3 linked regions of the Drosophila melanogaster genome follow. The gene in region 2 interacts genetically with the main gene of each other region. Each region holds a gene or a part of one and is shown on either strand. Other genes may lie near its edges.

Evidence for each region.
Region 1: of dlp (region 2) and Sulf1, changing one enhances a phenotype caused by changing the other (phenotypic enhancement), as found in Drosophila melanogaster (one study listed by BioGRID).
Region 3: of dlp (region 2) and ihog, changing one enhances a phenotype caused by changing the other (phenotypic enhancement), as found in Drosophila melanogaster (one study listed by BioGRID).

Annotation. Positions count from the first base shown.
Region 1 is NT_033777.3:16,333,065-16,343,483, forward strand, and holds the start of Sulf1 (sulfated), read right to left. Parts: upstream 6,512-10,419; 5' UTR 6,247-6,511; exon of another isoform or gene 5,879-6,246; intron 5,480-5,878; exon of another isoform or gene 4,781-5,479; intron 1-4,780. Other genes in the region: SF2 (splicing factor 2), read right to left, coding at 7,590-7,698, 7,758-7,882, 8,165-8,534, 8,664-8,827; pad (poils au dos), read left to right, coding at 9,330-9,482, 9,542-9,924, 9,980-10,419.
Region 2 is NT_037436.4:14,630,897-14,641,035, reverse strand, and holds the start of dlp (dally-like), read right to left. Parts: upstream 8,436-10,139; 5' UTR 7,964-8,435; coding exon 7,654-7,963; intron 1-7,653. Other genes in the region: RecQ5 helicase, read left to right, coding at 9,053-9,155, 9,218-10,139.
Region 3 is NT_033779.5:6,939,529-6,950,693, forward strand, and holds ihog (interference hedgehog), read right to left. Parts: upstream 9,281-11,165; 5' UTR 8,966-9,280; intron 8,897-8,965; 5' UTR 8,886-8,896; coding exon 6,225-8,885; 3' UTR 5,936-6,224; downstream 1-5,935. Other genes in the region: CG18304 (uncharacterized protein), read right to left, coding at 1-205, 1,083-1,153, 1,209-1,390; Fgop2 (fibroblast growth factor receptor 1 oncogene partner 2), read right to left, coding at 4,521-5,468; Gas41, read right to left, coding at 9,847-10,004, 10,063-10,588; SA1 (stromalin 1), read left to right, coding at 11,011-11,081, 11,145-11,165. UniProt on the Drosophila melanogaster protein: Mediates response to the active Hedgehog (Hh) protein signal in embryos, functioning upstream or at the level of patched (ptc).

The sequences.
Region 1 (10,419 bases), on a different chromosome or scaffold from region 2:
GACTTATGTATGTTCACTATCCTTTGTTCTGCGCCTGTCAGTTGTCGTTAATTTTCCCGGTAAAGTGTTGGCCCGAAAAAGGGCAAAGAACAAACATGTTTAGGCCAAGAAAGAGCTTTTGGGTCGGACCTTGTTTTTTTTTACCTTTTTCTCTGCCGCGGACTTTGACAATATGGTTGCTATAACATTTGCAGGAAACAATGCCATGATATATTTTTGTCAATTCGTCAATGTAGAAATTTGAACGGAAATGACACGATGGAGTGGTTCCTCATATCGAAGAATGGGTTCACCAGAAAACACTTTCAACGAAACAAAATCCACCGTTGCCAGTGGACTTCTCACACAAACTACCTGATAAATTGAACGCGCATATGTTGACAGCAATACAAATGGCTTGAACAAAAACACACGGAATTCCTGGAAACGTTTTCAATTAGCACTCGATTGCAATTATTAAACATCGAGGAGTTCTGTTAAATGTGAACAAATTATTCATAAACATTAATAAATGCCTTCACCAACGCATCATTAATCATCAGCTGTGGTAGTTTGAACCTCATTTAGCCGGGATATCATTTGGACACATTTTTAACTTCATATTTAGATTTTTGGGCGAAGGGCGATTTGCCAAACCAAAATCGCACAAATTTATTGTTTTTTTTCGCGATTTTAATTGCTTTTCTTCGTATATGTACATGTGCGAGTGGGTGAGTTATTCGATTTTTGTGTTTGGTTTGTGAAAAACCACATGTGATTTTCCATTATTAATTTGTTTTCCACGTAAACAAACACGAACTTTTATTGATGTTATAAATGCGGTTCTTAGCGCCGTCCTTCTTTGGAAACGAAATCGCGAAAATGTGCAAATCGGAATGCTTTTAGAGCTGAGTGGGCCTGTGGATCAGGTGTCCGAAATATTTTCAGCAATTGGTTAATCATAATCGCATGATGTTTCAGTTCTCTTTGAACATTTATGAATTGTAGGCTAATCTAAATTCTTTGAGTATAGATAAAGCATGACAACGGCATTATTATTGTTACTTTGGATACATGTTTAAAAAGTATTTGGTTTTACGTTTGTTTTGAAACTACAACAATGATAGACAGTGTAAATATTGATCTGCATCACTACTATTTCAGAATGTTCACTATGTGTGAATGTGATCTTTTGCGGTGGATTTTCTATCTTGAAAACGATAAAAAATTTTAAATTGTTTACTTTTTCTAGGGTATCATTTCATTCCGTCTAGCAGTTGAAGACAATTTTCTCGTTTTGTTTTCTTTCCTTTGTTTGTTGGTGGTTTGCTCTTCTAGCCACACTGCCTATTCATTGCCCACTTTATCCTTTCTGGCCCGGAGTGGAACCAAGTCTGGGAATTGCACTGGGTTGGTTTTGCTCTCATTTTGCCTTTTTTCACGCTTATTATGTGTTGTTTGTGGTTTTTTGTTGTTGGCTTTATTTTGCACATATTTACTATAGGTTTGTGTACATATATATTTCTTTTCGGTTTAAATGTTGTCAGACAGGATTTTCCACTTTAATGCAGTCGGCGTCGCTGCCTTTTGGCGCATTCCTGCCGCACAGCTCATCATGGATCATGCTCCTTTTTCCGCCGCCTACCTCCTCGTCACCCTTAAGTTTTGGGCTCAGCTCAGCCTGCGTGCACCACTCCACAATCCGTGGCCGCAATCCTTCCTGCAGCTGCTGAAGCTGCTCCTGCTGCCGTTGCCACCATTCAGGTTAATGCAGTCTTTATTCATTTCATATTTCTAAGCGCATTATGTGCTGCGAGCCACGCTCACAATATTAGCAAAAATTATGTTAATCCCTTCGGGCTGGCTGGGTAATGCTTACTGCCCCGTCCTTGCGGCCTTTAGCCAGCAAACGGAGGCGCGTTAAATTATTTTAATAGCCGCTTACAATTACCAGGGCCAACCCTCTCGGTTCAGGGTAATGTTTTTAATGTTTGACGCGATTTGCTGGCTTTTCACTGGCGTTTTTAAACGCGCCTTGCGGCCAGACATGCGGCTAAGTCGTAAAATAGGACTACAAACCGATGGTGCACGATAAGTTAATGGTGCGTCTAGCAGAGCAAAGCTAAAAATAAATACAATTTACTATGCTATGGCTTTGAATTTAGTTATTTTGATGAAAAATATACGATTTAAGAAGTACATAGGATTTAATTTCTTAGACATATGGTCTAGCCGAAAAAACTAATATTAAGCATGCCCTATTTGAATGTCCCACCGCCGACCTGCGTCCGTCCAGCTTCCTATCTCTAATAGTTTCTAAAACTTTTCAATAAAACTTAATTCACTACTCAATTAACCCAAGATAGTGCGAGCTCGTCACCCATTGTCCTTATCAGTTTTCAGAGGGACAAAGAATAATTGAAATTGATGCCCCAGTGCATGTGTTAATTTGCACTTGCCTCACTATTATAGTGACATGCATAACCAACTGCTCCATTGGGCGTTCAATTTTCCATTCATAGAGCGAAGACAGTGAGTATGCAAATGCAAATTGAGGCGTTTAAAAACGCTTGCAAATCGCGCACCGCAATTAAACGGCGCCCCAAACGCGTGCCCCATGGTACACGCCTCCCGGCCGATTTTATGGCTGTATTTAATGCGAGCCATGTTTGACGGGGTATCAGCCCATATAGGCATAGTTTGCGGCTGGCTAATGACTCTGCGTGGGGATGGGGATGGGGAATCGCATGAATCGTCGGGGAATGGGGATGCAAATGGGAAATGTCGGAGACGCCTTTTCCACTCATTAAGTGGTGTTGGTCAACCAGTTCCGAGGACAGCATGATGGATTGCCGGCCAGCTGAATAATTCAGCCACCAATCGCTCATTCAGCTGGGCATTCATTCATTCATCCATTCGGTCGGCCCGTTGACGTATCGTATCGAGCGGACCAAAACCGAAAACTAAAACCGAATCCCAAACCTGATTGCGGTAAAAGGCCAAATTGGATCGTTCTCGTTGCCTGGTCGGTGCCTTGGGGCCAGCGTTAGTCATCGTCATCATCATCATCATGAGCCTTAGCCGCCTTATGCCGCTCCCGCTGAATTGACCGAATTAAAGCTCTGGGATTGCGTGGAGCGGGCAAACCAGTTCCTGGCCGCCACACTCCAGCTCGGACTGCAACTCTAAAAAGACCAGGAGAAATTGCCACAGTCAAAACAATTAGACAGACGGGCCAGACTCGTGTCTTCAACTTGTTGCCGCGGCGGATAAAAGTTGGTGTCTTATGCTGGGAAAAGTAAAAAGTGTCTAATTAAATGCTTGTCCAGACTGGCTTTGGAAAATACAAGGTACTTCAATGCAAACAAATCTGTACGAAACTGAAATACCCTTAAGACATACTATTAAATTTAAATTTTTTAAGCTTGTAGCGCATTTTTCAAGCTTTCGAAATGAATTCCCTGAAACTATGGGACACCATTTTTTGCAGAATTGCAGAGATATTATTTCTTCTATATAAACAAAAAATTATCTTATCTGTTGATGTTGCGACTTAATCATATCATCTAGCAAACAAATCTTTTGTTTTACTTCGAATTGCCAGTTAAGGCAAAAAGTTGTCTTGCTATTGGGTATCTGGTATTATTTAAAAATTCCCACAATTAGTCAGCAATCGGTAAATTTTAAGGGTGGTTTCGTTATACGCATTAAATTAAATTTCCTCCAAGCGATTAGTGAATGGACCCGGTCCAAAAGGCAAGGCACAACAGGCAAACAACAATTAACATAAATTGCTTACGCGATGCGGCCCATTGAGTGCCGGCAACAAGGGGTTAAGGGGTCACAGTTGCCGCCCGTCAATCATTCGGTCAAACGAACAGCGGCACTTGAATGGTCGAGCGAAAAGGGTTTCCCATTTCCACGGCTGCCAGTTGCCAGTTGCCAGTTTCCAGTTGCGGTTCGCTCCAGCGGAAACTTCAGAATGCACCTGTCGCAAGGCGGCGGTAGGTGTGATAAGCATCTCATCACAACAAAAGATTAACACGCCGGGGAGGACAAAGAGCAGAGCCCGGTCATATGGGCAGGTCTCCGATTAGAGACGCACAAGGGATTCAAACGAGCTGCCTGCACACATATGCACTGCTACAAATAACTAGCAAGAAATGTATGGAACCCTAGATACAATGTATACTCATAATACAATTAAACTGGATTCTAAAAATTGCTGCTGAATATGGATGCTTATTTTACACACATAATTGTATATTGATGCTAGGTGTTCCTACAGACAGCTCAAGTTTTCTCACAGTGGTTGCTTAGATGAACAGGAAACCGACGGGGAGGAGACCTTGAAGACCCTACGCAGGTTGTATTGCAAGCAGTTAGTTAGGTAGTAGGTAGCCACAAGGCAACACCTCTGGCTTGACAGATCGAGTTACCAAAGAAGCACCCTACTCCTAAGTGGGTCACATTACCAATGTCAAACGATCGAAGCCAAGCCTTACTTTCACTCAGGAATATTGAGGAAGTGCTGTTGAACAGTCGGTAGAACAAAGACCAAACAAGTTGGGATGCCTGATGAGGACCACAAACGACTAGTATCGCATGATTTGCTTGGATCAGTCGATCTTCCCCCCGTAAAACTAATTTCAAGTTATGATCAATAAAAAAACCTTTTAAGTTTCAAGCGAGAACAATGACTCCTAGGGGGAATTCGCTGATGCTGCGCTTTCAATAGCCAACTTTAATGATCTCAGCAGTTCCGTGGGCATGCAAAACATCCATAAAATGCACTTCTTACCTCAGGCTATATCTAAATATATATATATATCTGTTTAAACTTCCAGTAGTTGTAGTTTTAACACACTATTGCGATTGTGATCATGAGCGCTGTCTACCGATTATTTGGACACTTCAGCTTCTATTTATAGTTCGCGTCGTGCCGAGCGGCTTCGAATTAGGTGATAAACCCGGTAATTGGTTGTACAATCGCGATCGATTAATAGCTTCCTCAGTCCCACTGACTATCCCCAGATGGGTAGTACCGTCCGATCCGGTAGAGTTCAATAAAACTGGAGCCGAACAAGGCGGAGATAAGCTGGATACACCGCCACAAAACACAATTCATAAACGAAGGGCCGGCTATCTGGGCCGATATCTTCTCCTTCAGCTGTCGAAAGACTGCCCACGAAATTGCACTTTCCGAATTATTTGTTATTCATTATTACGTGGGTTAGCAATTTTGACATGCAATTCGTACTTTCAACAGGGTTTCTACGGGTTTTCCGAACTTTTGGCGCACTTTTCTCGTGTCAGATGGTTGGTTTAGAAATTCTACGCTACTTTTATTTTACAGCGCGCGTTAGCTTAGTACGTAAATATAAATTAAAATCCGTATGCGACCAGTTCGTTCCGTTCGAAATTATAAAAAACAACAAACACAGAGCAGTTCCCACGCGCGTCCGAACAGCTGGTGAATATTTTTTGAAAAACCCAACAACAAAATGCGCGTGTTGCTTATATAGTTTGTTTGCCAGTGTGGCCGTGCTGCAAAGTGACCAAAAATCGTTTTTCGCACAGAGAAATCTGGTATTTTGCGTTAAAACAATACGGTCATCATTGCCCTAATAACAGTCCTCTGTAAAAATCCATAAGCGGGAAGTTTAAAATTGATTCGGAATGCAAAGGTTGTGAAATCCAGAACAGAAGTCTTTCCTGCAGATAATACAAGCAAACTTAATTTGTAATCTTCATAAGTACAGGAACATCCCATAAACACAAATACCTGCTACACGAGTCTAGCAGTCTAATTTTAAGCTCATAATCTCAGCAAGATAAATTGCTAAAAGTATTTGATTGCACCCATCTTATAATGTTGTATTAAAAGCATGACATTTTTCTTAATTTTTATGAATATTTATTGTAAATGTGTATTTCATTTCAAAAATATGTTAGAACTATGGCTTATATGTTGATCGATAAGCAAGGAGAACGAGAGAACTGTTCTGTTCCAAAATTGCTGTGGTATTACTTTTTATTAGGTTAACGAAAGTTCATGCAAATGATGCGGGTGTGGGCTATAGTCGGGGCCTATGAATTTTCGCCCTTCTATTCAAAAAAAATGAAAAACAAAACGCACACGCGACAATCGCCACATTTCAGAGGCAACAATATCAATGGAGACGAAAGATTTGGGTAAAGAGTATATAAATTATAAACTAAATAACGCAAATTAAAAGTTAAATTTGATGTGGCAATCTAACATACCACAGAGAGGCGAGACAGAGGGAGACCGGAACGCATCGGATCGGACCAGACCAAGAACCACTATCCACTATCCAGCGTTGGGCGCAAGTCAACGTTGGATGATGCACAGCAAATCCGTGAAATGACAACGACAGGGGCGCGAAGGCCACGAAATACGCGGTTCCCTGGGTGAGCTAGTTTCTGAAGTGCGATCCAAAGAAGGCGACAACAAAGCGTGTGAGCCTGTCCAAGCGAATCCTAATCCCGACCGTTAGGCAGATGCCGAAGAAGGGGCGAGGCTCGAAGAGATGCGGCCGAGTCCGAAACTGTATGATTTAGTCCTGTCCAAGGGCAACGCAAGTGTTCCTCACCGTCAACGATGCCATCGACATTCTCCTCCTCCAAACATCCGTTAACCTGAACACGACCAAAGTTCACACATAAAATCCTTCAACAATGCGAAATTCCTGTCTCCTCCTCCTCCGAGGTGCGAGTTAGCCATGGGACACTGCATCCCACGTTGTCCTAGCGAAGGGCTCAGAACAATCCTAAATCCAAATCCAATCCTGATTACAATCAAATAAATATTTTCATATTTATAAGATCTATAGACAGGTCCTGCCTCCACTAAATTCAATCCAAATTTATCCAATCCACGCCAAAATCAACATCAAAATATCCTCCTCCACATCCATTAATCCTCATCCTCCACATCCTCATCACTCTCCAAACATAAACGCGCAAAATGGGGAAGAGAAGAAAATAAAAATTAAAGTATTAATAGTTTGCTTATCAATGTGGTTGACATTGCGTTGTGTTCGGATTTCTGTTTCTTTTCTTTATCTCATTACAAACATATTTATTCTGTATCGATGTTTCTTGTTTTCGTTAAGGTAGATTCTAATAAATTAGCTTGGAAAACGTGCAGCCAAAATAAGAGTTATAATATAATATGTAGGAAGCAGACTGAGCAAAGGCTCAAAAGATAATCAAAAGCAAATCAAGGAATGCCGAGTGCTTTTGGCCAAAGAGAATTCCTTGGTTTACAGTTGTCATTTTAGAACTGTTTTTGTCAAATTTTGCCCGGTGGATTATAACTTAAGAGAACATTTCTGCTTCTTAGAACGTGTGATAAGTTGGAAAAGCAAGTGTTTTTCTTTTTTAAGTATGTTGGCTTCGGTGAGAGTTCGGAACTTGACTGAACAAACTTGATTGGTCGTTGATTTCATTTTACAAATCAATTTACAATTGGGGTATTTGAGGGGTCTTGAACAAATATTGATTGGTATTTCCTAATATAGCTTGCTTTTCCTGTTTCCTGCTCATTAAAATATTATAGATTAATGGATAATGCTTGGTTGTGTTTAATAGTTAGAACGTGAGCGAGACCTGGAATAAGATTGACGTCGCACTGGGGAGTATGTGGGAGTGCCACGACGGCGCGGCCTCGACGAGAATGAGCGCGAACGGGATCTGTGGAGGGATTCATAGAATAAATATTGAAAAATGAACTGTGGTAATATTTGGTTTACCTGTCGCGGTAGTCACGGCTTCCACCTCCGCCGCTGCCGCCACCACCTCCACCGCTGCCGCCACCACCACCGCCTCTGTCGTTATCACCGCTATCCTCGCGTACGCGAATGTAGGCAACCTCGCCCTAAAGACAATAAAAATATTAATATCATTTGAATAATGTCGCCAAACTATTTTTCAAAATGTAAACAGGAATGTGAACTAGATGTTTATCAAATTGACACATTTAAGGGCGTAAGTGTAAGCATCTACACCAATATAACTTAATGTTATTCCTGAAATCATATTTAATTATTCCAGCCTGTGAATAATGTATGCTGACAAAATAAATGCAAAAGTAAATTCTCTACCTTGAAACCCGAATACATTTGAATTTTACAAAGTTGGAACTGGACAATTTACATACCTCATGCGATCGGAAGCGAGAGTCGTCCAATTTTTTGATTGCGTACTTCATGTCCTCGTGGCGCAGGAACTCAACGACGCCGGAACCATCCTTGTAAGTGTCCGCGAAGCAGACGTCGCCGGCCTCGCGCATGTGATCCTTGAGATCTTGCCACGATCCGGAGGCGGGCAGTCCAGTAACCATGACGCGGTACTGCGAGCGCTTGGCTGGCGGTCCGCGTCCGCCCATCCGTCCCCCACCGTCGCGGCTTCGGTCATTGCGGTTGCCGCCGCGGTAGCTTCCAGGACCACCGCCCCGCGGGAACTCCACGCGCAGACGATACCCATCGTAGTCGTAGCCGTCGCGCGCCTTCACCGCATCGTCGGCATCCCTAAATTGGGCCAAGAGGCAGCCGGAGGATATGGACCATGGTCAAGGAAGGAAGAGAAGCAGTTGTCGCGAATTAGTTGGGTGTCTTAGCCGGGGCGCTGGGCCAGCTGTGTGTATTCGCATTACTCACCGCGCATCTTCGAACTCAACAAAAGCAAATGGCGGCCCACGCCGATTTTTCAGATCGACGAAAGTTACTTTGCCGAACTTGTGGAACAGGTCCTGGATATCCTTGGTGCGTATATCTGGGGGAAGGTTGCCCACATATATACGGCACTCGTTGCGTGATCCCATTTTCTCCAGTTTAAATCAGACGCTTCGATCTATTTCGATTTTCAGAGAACTTATTTTTGTCACGCTCACAATGACAAATGGCCGACGCAGTATGACCGTTAGTTCGAGTTGGGTAAATCCCTTGGGTGCACAGTAGTTATCGATAATTATAACGTTGATACGAAACTATAGGTGGAAGTTTCGTTGCTTATATCGATAGCTACCCTGTAAGTACTTACTTCGCTTAGTTGGGAATTAGAATGAATAAGTTATTAGAATGAAATAAATTAAGAAGTTTGTGGAATTTCCTCGGTTAAAGGTTATAAGGCAGGGTAAACATAATGTCGTTCCTTTCATTTATATTATAATTTACCGATAGTTATTGCCAATCACGCCGAGCTGCAATGTATTCGCGCAGTGTCACCACTAAGCGTCGTTCAGTCGAAGAAAAGACAACAAATATTTGCATGTGCAATACACTAAACATAAATAGCATTTCGAAAACCACTGAGCCACCGGAAAAATGGCTGCGGCCGGAAGCAACGTTCGCTGCATTAACTACTACGACCTGTGTCGCATCTGCACGGACAGCAGCGATCACAAGACGAACATCTACTCACCCGAGGGACGCGCCAAGAATCTGAGCCAAAAGATACTCGAGTGTCTCTCACTGCAGGTCGTGCTAGTGCATCAATCTCCCATTACTTTTGGCTAACAAACCCATACTTCTTGCAGATCGATGAAAAGGATCGCTTGCCCAAAGTGGTGTGCGCCCAGTGTGTGCAGTTGGTGGAGCAAATCCACGGACTTCGCGCCACTTGCCGTAACTCACAGACCATGCTAAACAACTGTCTCAATATTCGCCCGGCGCCAAGCAGCGACAAGCTATACATTCGGGATGCGGTCGATGAAACTGGGAAGAGCCTCAGTGTGGCGCAGTCAGCTCCACCAGTTCCTAATGGAGCTCAGCAGTCCGGAAATCTCTTGAACAGCATAATCCAGGCGGTAAACATGCAGCCCCAGCAGCAGTACACCATAACGATGGACAACGGGGTACAGCAGCAGCAGCAGCAGCATCAAGCTATGCCGGAAGTTCAAATAAAAAGCGAAAGACAGACGTGAGTGGGAATTCACTTTCATGAAAATCATCTCAATAACATTCTATCCACTTAGTGCTTTGGAAGAGTTTATACGCCTCAAGCCTGACATCAAGATAACGCCGCTGGGGAAAAAGGAGCCCATATCGCCTGCCAAGCCCCAGCAGCAACATTCTCTGCAGTCCCAGACAGTAACGCCTACCATAAACCCTACTCAGTTGCAGTTACAACCGCAGCTAGGCGATCAACTGCAGCCTTTGTGGCAGCAGATTCAACAACTTCAGCTTCAGCAACAACTACAGCAACTGACCAACCAGCTGCAGGCTACCACACAGTACTCCGTCGCTCAGGATGATACGTCAAGTTCTGGCGACAGTAAAAAGCCAAAGTTGAACTTTGTGCTCTCTTCGCCTACAGCGCCCCAGTTCACCACTTCAATGCCGCAATTCGGTGGCAGTCAGCCGCAAATACAGCTGCAGTTGATGCCAGGTAGCGGAGGAGTGACAAGTGCAGGGA
Region 2 (10,139 bases):
TTTGTCAAAATTAGTTTCCATTTTATTATCAGCACCTTATAGAAGGAGATAGAGGAGGCGCTGACGGGTTTCCGGTAGCTTTTGGTCAATAAAACCCACAAATTTATGACCTCTGAACAACGCTCCAAGCCGTTGTGGTAAAATATTTTATATACAAAATTAATTTTCGAATTTTTGTGGGTATTTTTTTACGGCCGTTTAATGTGTTTTATGCCTGGAGGTCTGGGGCATAATGAAATTGTCAACAAATTTAATGGCATGACGCAGTATGAGAAGGGGCAGATTACACAGTCTGCATTCTTCCTCTGCACAATGGCAATCTCCTTGAGTTGATCCAGGGTAATCTGCCCTCCATACACAAAGCACATTCATCTCTGCACTTGAGCTCAAGACGAATAAACAGAAACTGGACCAAAACTAATTGAATACCATTATTTGCCAGATTAGGACAACGCATAACAAATGGGCAAGGTTAGGCGGAGATTTGCATGGCGAACCCTTAACGAACTGTACGAAATGGATGCCAGGCCGGTTGGCCAGGCAATTGCATTTTATTGTAATAGCCAAACACTAAAAGGAGATCAGAGCTGCTGGGAAACGACCTTTTGACGATGAAGTCCATGTCTGGGCCTGCGGATAAGAGCCCTCATCGGACCTCGGTCCCGGCTCTTTAATGAACTTTTAGGCACGCACGTAGACGACCGGCATTAATTACAGACTCACTGCGAATCGGTTGCGAGAGTTGGAGTTTGGGTTCGCATCTTGATTTTCCGAGGGGCCAGCCAGACATTCTCCGGCGTAGCCTCCATTCGCCGGGACCGTGTTATCTGCAAACGCGCCATCAAAGTAGGTGGCACAAATTAACAAATCTTTCATGTGACCCAATTAAATCAACTCGAACCCAGCAACCGGCGGCTTTGCGTTCTCCTGAGCTCTTGGCCCCGGCAATTTGGCATTCGTCATGCTCGCCAGGCAATGAAAATAACCGAAGGCACTCGCCGATGCCTGGATTCTGGATACACGTTAAGAAATATAATCATGATGTGTCTAGGAAGTCATAATAAACACACAAATAAACATCCTGCATATATGCTTTTGGGCACTACCGTTTTTTTCAGTGTTGTGTTCCATGGGAAGCTTGAAATCTGTTTTGAGGGGAAACCAAGGATCGTCTGAGACCAACTGGTGGTTGATGAGGGAGTCGGTGCATCAAAATGGGTAATGAGGAGCTCCAAAGAAGAGGCCAATGGTTTGCCACAGAGAACTAATTCAAGGTTTACTTTTCTGGATCATGTGCAGGCGGATCTGACTCAATGCAAATTTTTCAAGTTCTTTCGATTCATAAAGATTCGTATTTAGTTAAGTATTAGTTTCATGAAAGTAAAAATATTATATCATTCTTCTTGGAGCATGGGACATTTTACGAATTTAAAAATAAAGTACTTTTAAAGCCTGGAAATGCTAAAAATAAGTTTTCTTTCACCACGATGTTATTCTTTTTAAAAGTTTTCCCAAGAAAAGTGTTTCCACTCATTTAATTACCGTCTGGCTTCATTTTCTACTTATTCTTAGTTAAGATATCTTAACAAAGTTTTCAAGAACCGCCCACTGCTTTAGCTCCACTCTACTTTTCTCTCGTCTCTGTACTCTACTAAAATCTTTTGCAAACTTCGCTTTCTTGGCATTCCTAGATTGGAGAGCCGGTAGAGAAGAGTCTTAACCCACAACATGCTCATTATGTAAATGCTGCCTGCCTCCTCCCAACTGCCACTCCCCCTTTTCTGCCGTTTCTTCTCCTGCACTTTGCCTACTATTATTATCTAGAGTCGGCATTTATAACTTTGTTGTAGTTGTGAGTTTGTTTCGCTTGTTTGTTTGCACGATTTAATGCTTCATTTGCTTGAGACTCAAAAGTGGGTGAAGCTAAAAAGGTTTGAGATTTGCGGGAGGGTCGTTGGAGGTACAGAGTTTCCCAGTGAAGTACCAAACAAGGTAGTGGAGTCTCCGTCTCAGCTTCATCTGCGGCTCTTAGCTGGTTAACTACTTAATTATCTTTTTGGTCAAATGGAGCCGCCAAATGGTTGAGACCCTGTCCCTCCATCTTCCTATCCTCTGGCTTATTAATAAACATGTTAAATGTAATTGTTATTCGGCGCTACCATTTTAGAGGCGTGGCTAATTGCTGGGCTTTAAGTTATGTAATTACCCAACCATCTACTGCGTAATCTTTGGTACAGAAATGAAAATCAGAGCGTGAGAAAAGGTAACAAGATTTTTAAAATAACTATCACCAAATATGTGGTCCATTCCTTGCCCATATTAAAATATTGTATGCCATGTTAATTTTCAAAGCTGAAATAGCTTTTGCTATATGGTATTACACCATCTTCTTAGGACCAAAAATGAAAATCAGACCGTGAGAATGAGTAACCACATTTCCGAAATATCTTTGGCATAGGGGATATCCTTGAAAGGCATTTTCCTGGTCTTTACACAGAGGTGTTGGGGTAAAGTTGGTCCAGAGAAACCACGAAAATAAATTTACAACAAAATGCCAGTTCTATCTATCTCTTTTTAGCCCTGCTTAGGCATCTCTTTCTTTCTTTGGCTGCACTCCCGAAAAAGGCATTTCAACGATGGCCATATATGAAAGTCATTGCTTCAACTGTTCCGATGGAATGAAGGCACGAAATGGACTCGGAATGCATCGAGAACTTGTTTAAGGAGTTGAGACCGCGAAAGAGACAGCCAACGGAGATGGGAAAGAGACAGCAACTGAGGTGAGACCACACAGGCAAAATGTTATCTCGCTCCATAAAGTGGCCACGTTTGACCTGCTCGAGATGACTGGGAATGTTGGAAGTCTGGCCGAGAGTCTGGGATTCTCTTCTCTACCTATTTTTGGTATCCTCCACCGACACTTGCCGGCAATTAAGTCGTTGGCCCAGCCACGATCGTTCACTCCGCCCCGGTTTCGTTTTCATTTTATCCCTTACTCGAATCCAACTTGAATCATCCGCGATCCACAGGATTCATTCTTAGAAAATTTGCTGACGATTCTTTTGGCTTTTGTTGTCACAGCAGTGGCTGCCGGCTGGGAGATCCCATTTCTGTCAGCATCGTCAGCTAATTACGCGAAATTGCCCAGATCTCCGATCTTTAGTGCGAGATATCTCAGCAAGTGTTGACTTTGTGGGCAAAATGTCTGGAATCCCAGCACCGATCACTGGATCAGATAGCACCAGCTGGTTTTTGAGATCGCCAAGCAATTGAGATGATCTCTCGATGGCTAAGAGTAGCCCCTAGGAACTGAGTAATTGTAATGGCATATTAGGGGGCGAGATCGCGTGAAAGAGTTTGCTATCGATCATGATCGCGTTTTTTAAGTGGTGCCTCTTGGCAAGCTTTCGGTTTACCAGATGTTAGGTGATCTAGTTTAGTGGGTTGTCAGTGGCGCTCAAACTTTGTGATCGCTCGTTAATGCTTGTTTGCTAATCATATTAAAAAAGCTTCATAAGTTTTAGATTTTATATACCCAAAGCCAAGTTCCAATATGCGAAAAGCCCCCGTGATAAACGCACCATTTATCCCCTCAATGACCTCATAAACAAACACCAGACAGCAACTCCTACTCGTTTATATACCCCGCCCTATCTAATCTGCATTCCAATCGAAACCCGAACCCAAACCTCCTCCATACAATGGTCAACAATTGCAGAAGTATATATCAGATGATCACACGCCGACGACGCCGATGAAGATGATGATGATATAGTGCCATATAAACCGCTCGCTTAGTTTCTTCCTTTTACACGGCCAAGGAATGCGACAGTGCAAAAAAATACAAAAAAAAAAATTAAAGAAAAGGGCCCAAAGAGCGAGTAAGAGAGAAACAGAGAGAACAAGATGGGGCCATTCAGTTTTGGTTGCTGGAAAATGATTAATAGTCATGCGGTGGTTGCCTTGAAGCAGGCGGGATGAGGGGGCGGTCAGGGGCAGTCGGCGGATGCAGTGCAGCCAGTGGAGACGCCATCGAAGTGGAGCAACCGTACACGGAAATAAAGTTAATGAAGATTCGGTGATTCGTATATTATGCACATTAAAGTGATGTTAGAATAGTTAATTGTATTCCCAAAATTATTGAGGGGCCTAAAATGAAAAATGTACAGTTAACAATATATTCAAATTTTTTAAATCAAACTATAAATATGTTTTTTTTTCAGTGAGTGAAAGCACTGCTGCTGTGCGCAGTAAACTAAAATCAGCTCTGTTGCAAATTTCTTTTGGCATAAGGCAGACAAAGATGGATAATGGATGGGAGAGAGATGCAGAATAGGAGGAAGCAAGGTGATCGTTTCTGTGTGGGAAATTTGTTGGTTGGCTCGAAAGAGTATTCAATACCTTACAGAAGGGTTGTACCAAGGATTTGGTAGTATTATTTAAGAAAATTAAGAATCTTGATGATAAAATTTCAAATTTTTGTAGAAGAAAATGCCTTTTACGTTCACTTTATTAAACAAACTATAGAATAAGTATTGAAACTATCGATAACTTTTTATGAAAATCACAATTTAAGGGTATTTTAAGTTGCGATCTACAAAGCCAATCTTCCCTCTGCATCGAGTCTCTCTTGCCCGCTCCTCTGATATTATTTTTAACGATTTAATGTTTTGCGAACTGTTTAAATTGTGCAAACAATTTCAGCTAAGTGCCTGCCTACCACTGATGATGATGGCGAGCCGGGGACGATGGTCAAGGGGGTTGGGGTTAAAGTGGGTTCGCACAGCTTTTTGATGTGGCACAGGAAGTGCAGCTTTAATGAAGCGTTTAAGTGGCAGCTGTAGTTGTTGTTTGCCATGGTTGTTGTTTGTGCAGCACGGAAGGTGTCATGCAGTTGTTGTTGCCCAATGTTTGTTGCTCTTCATGGTTCAATGGAAAGGAATGCGCCTGAAGTGTGAAGATGAGAGCGCTGGGAAATTGGCCAAAAACACTTAGACGTGACTGTTCAAAATTTTACCTTAAATATATGTACGAAATTTTTGCTTGGCAAATATGGTCTTGGGTTTTTACAGCATTTACAGTATTTAAATGACATAATTATATATTAAAATCAAACTATCTAACTAGCTACTTTATATATATATTCAACGAAGACCAACCTTAGTCAATTTGAAGAACTTCCCTACGACAATATGTTGGCCCCAAAAAGTCTACGTTTCATAAACTAGTTCACCTATCGCAAATGGAAGTTTAGCTTTATCAGACGCACAGCCTCACCAGTTAGCTGGCCTACAAAACCACGAAACTCCATCCAGAAGACCCTATAAACACCTATCGCAAAAGTAGTTCCCAGTTAAGCAATTCGAGAAGGCATGGGAAAAGAACAGGTCGGAAACTTTATCTAAATGCTGGCGCTTATCAGGCGGACAAGGCGCGAAGGGTGGGGGTCAGGTGAATGGAAAGGGAATGGAAAGAAGCGAACGAGAAGAGAGGACGCAACACAAGAATTTATGACTCACACGGTGGAAAGAGAAGCTGTGCACTGGGAAAAATTAAATGTAAAGAATAATGGCATTTTAGCTTAGCATAAATTTAAGAAATCTGTTATTAAAATTTGTCCTATTATAAATAATTTTCCATTTAAATATTTAATTGTTTTATTGTTTGAAAAGCACTGAATAACAATCACATGAACATGAATAAAATGTTAATACGTCAACATAAATTGAATTATTTATTGATTGCAATCCTACTGGACCAGAAAAACTTATTAAAATATTATTTACGGATTAGCTTTAATAATTCGAGTGCATTCGTTTTTTGATGGCCAAGGGACGGGGGTTCGAGTTGATCGGGAAGTAAAAGGTTCACATAAAAATGCCGACAGAGAATAAAAATCCTGAACTGCATAATTTAAACGATTTCAATGACACCTTGATTAATATCAAAGACAACACAAAAGGGAACTCGAGAACTGACCACTCTACCTGTTGGCCCCTCATCGCCCCCCTCCCCCACAGACATTTCCATGAAATTATGAACGAAACGCAACGCAACGCGCAATGCATTTGACCAAAAGATAAAAAATAAGGAAAACATATCGGGAGGGAAAAAAAACCAATCAGGCAACGTTGAAAACCAAAAATAAACAAAGGCAGGGCGCAGGTAGAGGACTAAAGGAGGGGCAGGGGTATGGACTGGAACAGGGGTATGGGGTGGGGCAAAAGGGCAGAGGCTGCAACAGTTTACCTGGCAACAAATCAAACAAAGAGAGACAGAGAGAGAGGGAGAGAAACTGAAGGCGACGAAGAGAGGGCAGCGCAACTTATTGCAATTAAGCGTGATTAATTCAGGATTTATACAAATTAAGTAAAACCCACAGGCGATCGAGGTCGAGGCTAGGTCTACCCCTCTCCACCCCTTATACCCCATTAAACTATGTGTAAAAGCGGTGTGACAACATTTTTGCTCTTGCACTAGGTAAAGAGCCTGTAAATGGGTTCCACAGTCCAATATCTTTAAAAGATTCGTAAACTTTGTAAAACATGGCATCTCAAAATAGAAATAATTAAGAAATCCTTAACAGTTTTAAATAACTCTTATAGCATATCCCATAAACATATAAAAGGTAATTCACGCAGTTCACGCCAACGATGCTCTACTGTATGCCCGCGCTCTTCTCATTTTATTTCCTTTTTTTGTTCATCAAAAAGGAATTTCTTGAGATTTTTCGCTGCGGCTGCTCCTGCCTATTGGACTGGTCTTGGAAACTGGAACCCTTTGCCCCCACTGGGTAGGAATGGACCGGGGGCAGAAATGGGGGCTGCGATGAGCAGGCGACGCATGCGCCAAGATCTCTGGGATGGACACGCTCTCCGCGACGGACTCTCTCTTATTTAGAGCCTGTCTTGTGCTGCTGCTTATTCGCATTTCGAGTTGATTTGCCTGGAATTTTATTTCCTTCAGGGGGCGGAGGGAGTGGAGGGAGCTCTGCAGGCGCGTTGAAGGAACAGAATGAATCACGGAATCGTCCAATTTATACACGAGTTCTCTTTGTTCCTTTGCGAATCAAACTTGTTTCTTATCTCCGGCAATTTACTATTGTTATGAAATATACGGATTCTTTTTCGGGTAATACCAATATTAGTTGCTTTGAGTTTTTAATTCCATTGGATAAATAATATGGTCTTTAAGCTTATTAAATAACTTTATTAAAGATTATAGTCCATTTTTCCATACTAACCATACTTTTCCATACTACATATATCAATGTAAGTATACATTTTAAAAGATCTGATTGCCACGATATGGATTTTCTTATCTTTTTTGCATTAAGAATGGCACTACCTCAACCATTTCGCACTTTAAACATCGCTACAAATTAAAATTTGTACTATTTGAATGACACCATATGGGAAGGCAATAAGTTATAATAAGCCTACTAAAGTACCAGAGTTCTTGAAAATATCTTTAAGTTTTTTTTTTAATATCCTTCACTTAAAGCGTATTTCAAAATTAAAAAAAAATTTTTATGATCTGAACATTTCACCCACAAGAAGTAATTATAACTTTGTTTAAAATTTAAATATTTACAATAATAAATATTTCTCGACAGGTATTTATTAAGCCATTGGTATATAATATCGGACATACCGTTACTGGGTTTTTGGGGAATTTCGATGGCATCGATTCCTCTCGCTTGGAAAATGTGTGTCACAGCACTGCAATTCGGACTGAATTGATCGATGATCGAAGACCCTGCTACGCCACCCGCCGGATTGGGGGCGGCAAGGGCGGCCACTTGGGGGGCGGGGCCATTGTCCGCTTGTAAGGTGGGCGGCAAGTGGGTGGTGAGTAGTAATAGTAGAAGAGGACTGCTGAATATCACAAGGCGGGCAGTTGTTGTTGCTGTAGCTTTTCTTCTGCAATGCAGATGTTGTTGTTGTTGCTGCTGATGTAGCATTTTGATAACTCTTTCTTTATTTTAAGGGGAAAGAGAGAGCGAGAGACAGGGCTAATTTCACCGGCGTTTGTTGTCGTTTAGTTTCGATTGGGATTCAAATCGTTTTGACTGTGTTTGTTCTTTTTGCGGTAAATAATTTTGGCAAACGCAGGCACCCACACTGAAATACGCACACTAATACACCGCTTTGTTTGCCGGCATTATTATTATTATGAAACTTATTTTTGTCGTTTGCGTTTATCAGTGCGCATTTTGCGTTCAGAAGCAATTGAAGTGCAACATGGTTGTCGGGTGTTATTAAATCGGGATTATTAACAATTAACAAATAGCGGCACACGCACTGCACATAGACGCACTCGCTCCAACACACACGCACCCGCGACGACGAAAGGCGAATTGAAAGCAAAGCGCGCAACGCAGGAAGAAGCAGCACAGCGCGTGCTCGCGAGTCGGCTATAAAATTTTGACTGAGAAGTCTCTTTGAATTTCGACTGCTTACCGTCGATTCTTTTCAGCCTGCGCTTATCGATTGGTGACCGCGGCTATCGATGTCTATCGCCTTACACCGTTTTTAGGTATGTACAGTGTCACTAGGCTATGAGAATTCCATTCTGGGAAACGTTTGTTAGAAAGTTGTGAAATTTAAAAATAAAATAACGAAAGTTTTACAAGAAATAGATTGGTCCTGTTAATACATACATACATATAAATTATTATACATATACAATTATACATACCATAAATTTTTTTTGTTTGCAAACACACGACTGTATATTTATTAATTGGTTGGTAAGCTAAATGGTTTTTGAATAATTTAATCACAAAAAGTAAAACTTCCATGTCGCGCTTATAGGCGAGATGAATGCCTATTTAATCACATTTAAAATATTTTGTGTACAAAACAAATAGTGTGGACATCTAAATTTATTCGAAATATGTGACATCGATAAAGGAAGGTCCACACTATCGAAAGCCACTATCTAGCCGCATTGTTCATCTCTAAACCAGCTGTTTTGGCGGCAACCAGTTTTGGTCTGAAGCAAAACAATGTTTATTTAAATAAAACGCAATTTAAATAACAGCCCAAGTATGGCGCATGAAAGCGCTGTGCACGAGGCGCTGAAAAAGCATTTTGGCCACTCGAAATTCAAATCGGATCTACAGGAAAAAGCCGTGAAGTGCGCTGTTAAAAGTGAATATTGGCCAAATTCTTACCCAATCTCGCAGATAATACCTCTCGTAATTCTCTTACAGAAAAGCAGGATGTGTATGTGTCGATGCCCACGGGCTCGGGTAAATCCCTGTGCTTCCAATTGCCTGGTTTGATGTCAGAGAATCAAATAACCATTGTTTTTTCTCCGCTTTTGGCTTTGATTAAAGATCAGATAGATCATTTAACCAAACTGAAAGTGCCGGCGGATTCTTTGAACTCCAAGATGAGCACCAAAGAAAGGGATCGTGTTATAATGGACTTAAAGGCCGTGAGAACCAACCTGAAGTTTCTCTACATAACCCCGGAACAGGCCGCCACCAAGTTTTTTCAAGACCTGCTGCAAACCCTCCATAAACACAATAAGCTTGCCTACTTTGCAGTCGACGAGGCGCATTGTGTTAGCCAATGGGGACATGACTTTCGACCGGACTATCTAAAGCTGGGGGAGCTGCGTTCCAAATATTCCGACGTCATCTGGTTGGCTTTGACTGCCACAGCTTCAAGGGAAGTCAAGGAGGATATATATAAGCAGTTGCGCCTCCACCAACCCGTGGCTCAATTTAGCACTCCTAGCTTCAGGAAAAACCTCTTCTATGACATTGTTTACAAGAATTCTATCGAAGATGACTTTCAGCACCTGGCAGATTTCGCCAGACACTGCTTGGGCAATCCGAAGGAGTTTAAGGATACACCCAAGCCACAAAGAGGCTGCGGAATCGTATATTGCCGGACTCGAGACCAAGTGGAGCGCATGGCGATAGGGGTAACTAAACAGGGAATCGGAGCAGTAGCCTATCACGCTGGTCTGAAAACAGGAGAACGTACTGAAGTCCAGGAAGCGTGGATGCGGGGTGATCAGCCCATTATATGTGCAACCAATAGTTTTGGAATGGGTGTGGACAAACCAAGTGTGCGCTTCGTTATCCACTGGGATGTACCCCAAAATGTGGCTGCTTATTATCA
Region 3 (11,165 bases), on a different chromosome or scaffold from region 2:
TTGATGTCCAAGGCGGTGGTATGGCGTCGCGGTGGAACCGGCAGCTTTACAGTGACAGCCACATCCTGATCCTCGGCGGAGGATGCTGCTCGACTGGTGGATGCCGTAGCCGGCGGGCGGCGAGCCACATTGTCCGGCTCGTCGATATCCGGCGTGGAGGCCCATGACTGCGGACGCTTCCTCAGCTCTACATTGAAGTGGACAACTAGGCTCAGTAAGGGCGTCAGGTGTGTTGCATGCAGGTGCAAGTTGCGAGTTGCAGTTTGCAATTAGCGTTCGATTCCACTCGGAGCCGTGGGTGCGAGAGTGAGACAAACGGATGCCACAGAACGAGCGAGAGAGAGAGCGTGGGAGCGCAGTACAGATCACGCGTGGCATGGTAGTAGTTAACATTAACGGTTCATTTAATGCAGAGATTAGTGTTGAGAGAAAGTAAGAGAGAGCGAGACAGAGACAGACACAGAGCAATAGAGATGACACAGTTGGCGGTGGTTTTTTGTGCACACGCAGAGTGAGAGTGAGAGAGATAAGTAGACAAACACATTGATTAAGATTCGTAACAATTTTTTAAGCAACTTACTATAACTAAATGTCAGAGGAACAATTTCTCAATGGTAAAAATACTTTAAGAACCAAATTATTTCAAAAACTACATATATTGTTATGTTTCTAGCAGGTTTATGAAAGTATAAAACAGTGAAATTAAGAGTTTGGACAAATTTTTCTAGTTTACTAGTTGCATTGAGAAATCGTTTTTTTAATTAATACATGTATTAAACATAAACAATTTTAATACTTAAAACAATAACCGATTGACAAGGGTACTGAAACTATTTGAATTCTACACAAACATTATAATCAACAACTTAACAAATACTATTAAATAGATTAAGCTTATAATGCATATAAATATTCCATTTATTCCACGTTCTCGATACCATTACTATGATTTTTTGCGAGAACACACTCAGCTACAAAGTTAAGTTAGCTTCTAGCGCTGATTAACAATAAACAAAAGTGATCGTCTTTATTTTAATCATAAAGTTTATAGATTTCTTAACCGTTGCGAGTGGCATTCATACCTATATCATTGCCATTAGTTGCGTTTGCACTGGTAAGATTTTGAGTTGACGTCCACGTCCGCGAAGAGGGTCTATAAAATAAAGTATTATGTATGTTCAAAGGTGGAAATCCCGGGAAGATCTTACCGAGAACTCTGGGCATCGGAGAGATTGGGCGAGGAGGCGGCCACCTCTTCGCCGGCTCTGCGGGCTCCATGCTCCTTGTAATCCCGGAAGCAGCGCTTACATCGCGTGGGATACCGAGTCTGGGGATGAAAGCCGAGTGGGCACAACTGGTCGCCTTTCAGCGATGGGTACAGATGATGCATCTGTTCTCGTACAACTTATCAGCTTTTCTTTTTCTGCAAGAGTTGAAGTGTGAAGTCCTCTCAAGCCAACGCTTTATTTTATAATTAACACGGTATGCGTAACATCTCACTACTGGTTTTATTTATTTATTTTTTTCTTTTTGTTTAAAATCTTTTAAATTTACATTTGCTATTTCTATGTACTTTTCGCACGATCCCAATACCCAATTGACTGCGCAAGTCTGTGGAATTTCTGGCACTAAGCCAAATCGACAAAAGAATTTTGTACACGTTCATCAAATACTTAAACATTTACATTTCGTTATCATTCACTTGGCCATTGGTTCTAAATTGAATAGCTGCCTGGTTTGATGGCTATTGTCAACGTGAGTTGGAAGTGCAGATGTAGATCAATGCCTTCGATTAATTAACTATCCCTCATTGGAAGACAGATATATTAACTCTGAGAAACAAAAAATGAAACTGATTTAAAAATTAACTTACTAAAAAAAGGAAATCAGCAAGTCGATTTAACATACATATGTATGTATATCTTGGAATTTATTCTATTTTTAAAAAGAGGTGATAATATGCATTCTTATATTCGCATTGATACACATATACAAATATTAACTTTAACTATAATTATAAAAATGTTTAAAATCTGGATTTAAATGTAACCATTGCTAAGAATACTTAAAAAATGATAAGTAACTTACTAGTTACTAGTACTATGATTGAAGAAAAAACTCCTAACAACAAAAGCTTCACATCCTTAAACTTTGACTTTTCTAATTCAATTTCAAATCATCCTTCATATCTGTCACTTCAGTCAGGCATAAACAATCGAATGGAAATGGTAAATATAAACAATAACAAATATGTATCCATCTATTTGAGTATTTTTAGAGCGATCTATGAGTAGAAAGAGAGCGAGATAAGCTGGCACAGGTGGAAGCTAGTTGCGCAGGCGATTTTCCGCCGCTTGCGCATGTTTTTTGTTCTTTTGGCGAAAATGGCGAAACTCAAACGAAAGAGCGCGATGCGAAGAGAAAGGCGAAGAGAAAGCGCGGAGCTTTCACCACTCCTTTCTCTGTGCGCTCTGCTGCTGCGATGATTGCAAATCCCTAGTGCGTTTATAAATAATTACCAGCGTTTTAACCTATTTTCATCTAAGGCGCTCTGTTTTTCGTCGGCGCTGGCACTTGCAAAATGTGTGACTTAATTTAGAACGCAGTGGACTTACACGAAATACTTCCGCATTTAGAATAATTTGCGGCTGGACGACGGGGAATGGGGCCAGCCTCTTGGATGTGGAAGTGGATGTGGATGTTGATGGTTGCGTAACCGTCGGGATTCAGTGCGTTTCGACACGGATTATACAGCAGTTTGGAGCATTGGTGTACATATGTAGATTCTTACAGGGATTGGAATCCCCAAAGCCTTTCGTTCACTTTCGATCACACACACACAAACACTCGGTTGCTGCTTGGTTGATTTAATTTTGGAATATTCACTTTATACAAAACATTTACGGCCACAGAAATTGGCTGTGTTTTATAAATAGCATAGTTTTCTTCTTGCTAAATGGCAGCGCACTTCCCATAAATCTACCCAGACGATTTTCAAATGCAAGACTCTCCGGAAATATCGTTAGATTTGGATCAATAGCTTATTATTAGAGGGATATATCTTTATATCAACCATGCGATCCAGGCAGTTTTCAATTTTTCACCCGATTCACATTCATGTACAAAGGCCAAGCACGTATGTGCCTATATATTTATATAGCTTTAATATAACCGTCGATTGCCCGAGCACTCGAAATACTTATATAGATGGCTGCCATGCGAACCGGGCGCAGTTCCTTGGCACTTTTTTTTCGGCTGCGAACGCGTTGAAAATCGACGAGAAACTAAATTTAAATTATTTCTGAAAGCTTCAACTACCTACCAGTCGTGCGAGAAAAGTGTTTTCCTCAAGAGAACCGATATTTTGGCGCAGAGAATCGATGAGAGCGATTCGAAAATTATTCAAAAATATTCAAGTCCAAGCCAATTGAAAGTTTCAGCCATAAATCTTTACGGGTATCCATATAATATTACTTTTACACTTCAGGTTCCATATTTATCAAAATTACAAAAATGTATTTGATAGAATTAAAGAAAAAAAACACTGTAACTAATAATAATAATAATTACTTCAATAATATCTATTCAAAAAATTGGTTTTCCTAATTTTCCATATTGATTAATAACCAAATTAAACTTAAACAATACAATAATGAAATTATTTAAAATTTTTTAAACCCCAATATTTTGCCTTTGGAATCTTAAGCTTCTAAAATTATAGTTATTACTGCTGTTTTTTTTTCTCATGGCAGATTCTGTTCAACTTGGTTCATTGTGTAATAAGTTGACTTTTTGAAAATTAACATGACTATATCATAAATCTTCTGCTCGATAACCATTGATAACCATTGTGGCAAATGTTAATTTTAGTGGCTATACTTTATTCATATTTAAACTCCACACAAGTATGTGTGTATATCAAGTTCTGATCAGCCTTACTCGATAAGCAATGAGTCATATCCAATGAATTATTTAACCGCTTCTCTGTTTGGCTGGGATTTAGAATGGCCAAATTTAAAAAGCCTTCTAACAAAAATATTCAAATTCATGGGAGGGGCGCATAATAGATGGGATTCTACTCGTAACATCTTTTGGGAAATAACTTAAGAATTAGTTAGCTTACGGAGTAGCAATCTAAAGCAAAGTTACATCTTATTTAAATACACTACTGAAATACATTTGTATGTTAAATTAAATATGCTCATTCCTTTGGTTATTCCCCGATTTGTATTGGAATTTATTTAGCAAACCATAAAATCGACAGGGTACATTGTACATTACATTTGTGTGGGTGTGAGTGTGTTTACCTCGTTTTAAATAATAAACTTCATTGTTCTCAATGCGTATGGACAATATGTTGAAATTCGTATTATGTATAAATTACTTAGAGATTATCAATCGCTAAGAGCTAATGCAGGTTATGTGGGCCCTCTTCGTGCGCGGCCTGTTTTGTGAGTGGGTGAGTAAATACGATTCAAATGAAGACCAAACGAATCAACAACGTTGCACAGCAGCACCTATCATGTTGCGGGCGCTACTGTCGCCTGATCCTCGACAGATTCGTTAGACGTCGTCGCTGGCGGCGGTGCACTGGTTGTGTTGACTGCAGGTCCGTTATTGTTATCATTCGCCAGCGGCTCTTCCCCCGGCGGCGCCGTCTCCAATGTCACACTTGGTGCTTGTGTTTCACTTTGACTATGCACTGGTGCAGTGTTAAATGAGTTCGTGGTGCCGGCGACTTTAGCCGGTTGCTCCGGACTGCTGTACATCTGGATAACCGAGTTGTTGTTCATGTTTTCCACCGAGGCGCCCGATATGGACAGATCGTCGGCGGAGTCGTCCGCCGTACTGTCCGTTTGCACAGCCTTCTCCTCCAGCAGGTGGTCGCTCTCACGAATCGGTCGCTGCGAGGAGCCGTACTGCTTGGAGATTTGCAGCAGCTCGCGCAGCGTTTCGTTCTCCAGACGCAGCTGGGATATGGTCTGCAGCTCTCGCTGCACGACACCGTCATCTACACTTGCAGCTAGCTGCATCACTGCTGCCATTTCGTTGATCTTCTCGCGCTGCTCCCGGATCACCTGCCACATGCGTTCGTTGTACAGCTCCTTAAAGCTAAACTTGCTATCCAGGACCTTGGAGACGGTGTGCTCGCGATACTTTTGCATCATCAGCTCCATGGCACGCTCGTAGTCCTCAATGAAGATCTTTAGCTCGCGATTCTCTTTGAGTATCTCCGAGCTGTTGATGTTTTGCTGCTGAATGCGATTCACCATGTCCGCGTTGGTCTTGTTGTTCGAAATGCGGTTGAGTGATTCAATGTCGTCCTGATACTGGCGAAGGCTCTCCACCAGCCGATTGTTGTTCTCCGCCTCCTCGAGCAGCGCCGTGCCCAGGGCGTCCAGGTCCTTCACCCGACTGGCCATGCGCTGCGCATCCATTATAATCTGGCCCACGGATAGGTTCGACATCCTGCCCAATTCAGTCCAGTTGCGATTTTTGGATTTGTATTGTTTTCGGGGGCCAGGCCCTCTGCTGCTGGCACTGCGAAAACAAAGGGAACCGCTTAAATTTGTGCACTTTCTGGGGCCTACGAGCAGTGTCTTACGTTCGGTGCGGGTAAGGTGCAGCTTCGTCCCTAGCGTAACAGCTTCATTTGATTTTCCGGCCAAAATATGTAGGAATAGAAACGATTTTAATAGAAATTTTGACGACGACCCAATTATTGGCTGACAGCTTATTAAATCCCAAACGCCATCGGATGTTGCACAAATCCCTAACGCCACTCATTGAATGCGAAAAAATACTGTTTCAACACTTGATATACCGCAAATATACCAAAGATTTAAATTATAATTTTGTTTTTTAACTTTTAGCTTGAGATGTCATTTTTTTGGCTAAATCCTTTATGTTTATGTTAAAAAACTCTTTTAAGGTTAAAAGGTGAAGCTACAAGCTTTATTGTCATTTTTGTATAGGTCATTAAGAAGCTATCAGTACAGATTTTGATCTTATCGCGAAAAATGGAAGACTTAGCGTAGAATGGACATAATGCTATGTTCTTAAACGATCATGCATACATAAATCTAGTTATGTCTATTTAAGTACCTATTTAAGTACAAACAGCAAAGGTTTTGTCATTCAAAGTGGTAGATAAAACAGAGGTAGAGGAATAGCATGGTACATCGGGCGTAGGGATGCACAGACTAAAGATCACGAGATTGCGATTACACGCCAACGCTGTTGAGGCTGCCGGAGGAGAGGTTCTCGGAGCGACTGGACAGACGGGGGCGTTTCATGAGTACACGACCCGGCTTGCCGGGATTTTCGATGGAACCCGCCTCTGCGGATTGATTTAGATTGTTGTTGTTGCCGTTGTTGGAGCCATTGCTGCCGCCAGCACGTTCCAGCGTGCGTTGTGAGCGACGCAGCGAGGAGGAGGACATCCTGCGCAGCGTGGGATCGTAGTCATAGCTCGACGGCCGCTGATAATAGGGCGCATCCTGGTCTGTGTCATTCTTCTCCTCCAGCGCCTGCTGCTGCTGCTGGGCGAGTGGATTCAAGGTTATGTGGATGTGTCGTGTTCGCTGGCGCTGCTTGGTGGGCGAGCAGTTGCCCAGCGGCACAAAGTCATCTCTCAGCTCCGCCATCCGTGGCTTGTTTGGATTGTTTCCCCGGCTTCTGGAATTCCTACGCCGGCAAACACAGAAACAGGTGCTAATCAGAAGCAGAATGAGCACTGCCCCGCCGCCGATTGTTCCCGTCAGCATGGGACTCATATTGAATGTCTCGTTATGACTGGGAGTTGTTGTATCGCGGTCGCCCATTTGCAGTGTTGGCTCCTCTGTGGTGCTGGTTTTGGGACGTTGGGTGCGCCCCTGCTTAAGGGCACTAAATTCGGATGCAGAGGCGGCACTGAAGGACTGCAACTTGAACTCGTACATGGTGGCCGTCTCGAGGGGTGCTATTTTAAAGCTTCTAGCATGGGCTCCTTCAATGGTTGCCTTGAAATATTCCCCTGCCGAGGACGAGGGTCGATAGTAGGCGTAGTAGCCAGTGATCAGGTGTTCATCCGCATCGCTGGCTAGACTCCAGTGCAGCACCACAGCGGTTTCAGAGTATTCCTCGATCTCCAGAAGCTCTGGCACCGGCATCGGATCAAGTGCTGCACCTGGCTGCAGGTAAAATTTCGCCGAGGTATTACTTTCCTTATTGTCATTGTTGGAGTAAACGGCTAGGATGCGGAAACGATAGGTGTGCTGAGGCTTCAGGTCCGTCACCGAAGCCGTGAAGCTCTTGCCCAGCTCGGAGTTCCACTTCGGTTTTCCATACGGTATATTATCGTTGGTTGTCTGCCAGTTCTTGCGCTTGCCAACCATGCGGTACTGAACCTTAAAAATGACAATTGGTAACCCATCGTTTCGGGGCACCATCCAGCGCAACATTACGGATTCATCGCTAAGTCGGGTTACATTTGGAGGAGTCGGTGGATACATCTGCTTCTGCCTGGAACCCTGATTGGGCTTGGGCCTGTGTGTACCCCCCGATTCCCGGGGTTCCTGAATCTGCTTGGGATTCACCTGCAGCAGTGTACCCGCACTGTGCTCACCAAGTCTGTTTCGTGCAAAGCATTGGACATAGCCCGCATGACGCTTCAAGACGCTGTGCAATATCAGGAAATTATTGGAGAGCTCAGCCTCAGAATCATCGATGCTGCTGTGACCGTTCAGCAGCCAGTAGATCTCTGGCGTTGGCACTCCTGTGGCCTTACACTCCAACTTCAAACGATCGCCCTCGTTGGTAAGATCGGCCCAGGGTGGTCGCACAATCTGAGGCGGCTGCTCGACATGCACTTTTATGTAGTGTTCTAACGCAGGCCGCACTCCATTATCTTGAAAGCAAATATAGGTGCCAGCATCATTAACTCGGGTGTTGGATATCTCCAAAGCGTGTCCAAATACTTTCGAACGCTTGTTCTTAACAGCTCCCACGACATCGGGACTGCTCCAGACAACCGTCGGTGGCGGTGAGCCAACTCCAGGACACAGCAGCAACAGCGAACTCCCTTCGCGTATGGTAATTTCTTGGGAGCTCGGCTGTCCCCTGAGCAAGTGTGGAGATTTACTCTCCGACCTCTGCTCTGGTGTAACCTGTAGTTGCAGCGAGCCGGGCAGCTGAATTCTCTCGCCAGAGGCAGGATTGGTTGCCTGGCAGGAATAGCTGCCTGACGACTCGGAGGATACATTGCTTAGAAAAAGATTTCCATTGGTTCCGATGAACTCCGGTTTGATTTCCACTCCGTTTCGATAGTAGGACCAACTGGCAGATGGATTCGATTGCACCTGTTGTCCGCAGGACCAGAGCACAGAGTTTCCAGCAGACACCCGCCATTGGAGGGGTGATTCCGATTCCTGAGCGTCCACCAGGCTAGTGCTGGCCAGCTCCAATCGAGCAATGGTAGACGTGACCACCAGCGGACCGAACCAGCCAACGCATCGGTACTCGCCTAGAGTGTCTGGTCGGACGAGCACCCTCAGTCGCGAGATGGCCGCCTCCTGGGAGACATTCGCTTTGGCCGTGCCTGTCTTAAGGTACTTGAACCCCGCTCCCGGAGATCTGCTGGACCGGTGGCTCCATTCGAAGCGCTCTGGCTGCAAACTGGTCTCGCACTCCAGCACCACCTCGTCTCCCAGGGGCGCCACCAAAGATTCGGGTGCGCGAAGAATTCGCACGCCAGGCGATGGATGCGCGGGATGTGCGGGATGTGCGGGATGTGCGGGATGTGCAGAGTGGGCAGGATGGGCGGGGGACTTCTCCAAAACCGGAATTGCTTCGAGCCGCGACGTCAGCAGCGAAAAGAGCAGCAGCGAGGATGTGAGCAGCGTCATTGGAGGGGGCACTGAAAATTTCACGAAAATATCATTGAATATTTGAACTCAAAGGATTAAGAGTTAATGGCATTACTCACCTTATTATGGGATTTTAGACTGATTCTAGGTGGGGAAACGCGTTTGCGTTTGCGCAGTTAATAATTTTCACTCTCGGCTATCGCGCATCACTTATGGCTTATATACATATGTGTGTCTGTGTGCGTGCGTGGAATCGTGGGCCTAAATTATTTATGCACATTACACGTTAACGACGCAGCTCCATAAAATCATTGTATCTTTAATTCGGGCTTCGATCGGGCCCCGAAGCCACCGGACAAGCACATGCACTCAACAAGTCAAATAAACAATGGCATTTATTATTCCATGGGGATGCTGGAACTGGAACTGGAGAACGAACCGCGACGCTGGTTCAGATGCATTGCATCGTTCACCGGCGAACCGGTGATTCCGAATTCATCGGTTCATCGCGGTACAGTGGACTGAATCTATCTGGTATCAGATCAAATTCATTTATTCAGTTCATATTGAAACTTACTCAAAAGCACTCGTTATTAAATTGATTTTAATTAAGTAAAAAAATATTTAGTAATATTAATATTAATTTATATTATACAAAAGCTACATATATTTTTAGAAAATAATAAACACCAAATCATGTAAGATTTACGACGTTATATAGTCAATGGCACCATAGTCAATGAATTTGAAGTGTAGTTTCTTTGTACATTTATATAGAATTATGAATTCAGCTGTTTATAGAGACTGCACTGATCCACATCAATAGCCATCGATATAATTTGCAATACTATAAAATTATGTCCTAAACCGTTTTGTTAGATTTGAATTAGTTACCCGAAGCCAAGAATTGGATATCACCGTTAAAATAATAAAATACATTTTCCAATATTTTATTTAATTAATAATTTTTAGATTATTTCTATAGAGAATTATGCACATTTTACGCAGGTTGCTTCTGCACCTTCGCCAATTCTGCCTTGAACTTCGAAATGGTCTCACGTGCCAGCTTTAGTTTGTCCTTAAGTGTAACAATCTCCCCCTTGACCTTCTGTTTTACATTCACAATGTTGTCCAACGTTTTCGTCTTCTTTTCCTCAACTAGAAAAGTATATATCTAATGAGTAAACATTCAAAATGGTAATCAGCTCATAGTTACAGTCAGTGTCATGGGTTAGCAACCCATTGGCGCTCTGTTCTGAAAGCAGGAGATAATGCTGCAAGATCTGGGTGGGCTCCTGGAACACTATTTCCTCATACGACTCCGAGACCAGGCCCTTCTTAGTGTCCATAGTGGTGCTAGAGGAGAGCTCGCCATCGACCACAGGCGATTGGAAGAGCTTAAGGATGTGGTAGCAGGTAACCGGGCGCTCTGATTGATCGTTGAAGTATATCTTGATGATCACCTCGAATTCACCCCATCCGGTCTCGGTAATCTCGTAGGGCGGCTTAACTACGATCCTGTTCGGATTAGCGTAGCTCTCGTGCAGCTTGAAATGCACCTTTTTCACGTAAATGGACATGTCCTCGTTGAAATAGGGCTTCAAATAGACTTTCCACTGATGCGTGTGTCCGTCCTCCTCGCGCTTCTTGCCGAAGGATCTGGCAATGTTTCCATACACTATGGGCTTTACTATAGTTACGCCCTTTAGTCGGCCACCCGAGTCTCCGCCAAAGTCAGTCATAATTCAACGATTTTAAGTTGTTTATGCTTCGTTAACTAAATATTGTTTTGGTTCTTCTTCTTGCTTTTCGGCTAGCAGTTGTTATCGATATATGGATGCACTGAATACCAGGGCTGAATATAATTATGGACATGAAAAAAAAGAATTAATTATTTAATTAATTTATTAATTAATTAACGAAAATTCCACAATAATTAATTTAAATATTTTAGCTGTATTTTATTTCTTTTAAGTTTAAGCCACTCTTATTTCTTAATTGCATCCCTTGTTTCCGATTGCGTCTTTCGATTGTTTTTGCACTGTATTGTGGGTTGTGGTTCCATCACTTGTATCAATCGGACGCTTTGGTCAAATTTTATTGTTTAATTTAAAATTAAATGATTTGAAGCCATATTTACCAGTGAGACAGTCAAATACATAAAATGATGGCGCGTCGCGGTGGAAAGCGCATACGTATGGATGATCCGCCGCCGGACTACGAGGAATTGCACAGGTACAGTTCTCCGTTTTCCCACCATTCGTGTTTGCCTATAAGAAATATGTAATTATTTTTTAGCGATGCCCTGAATGAGAGCAC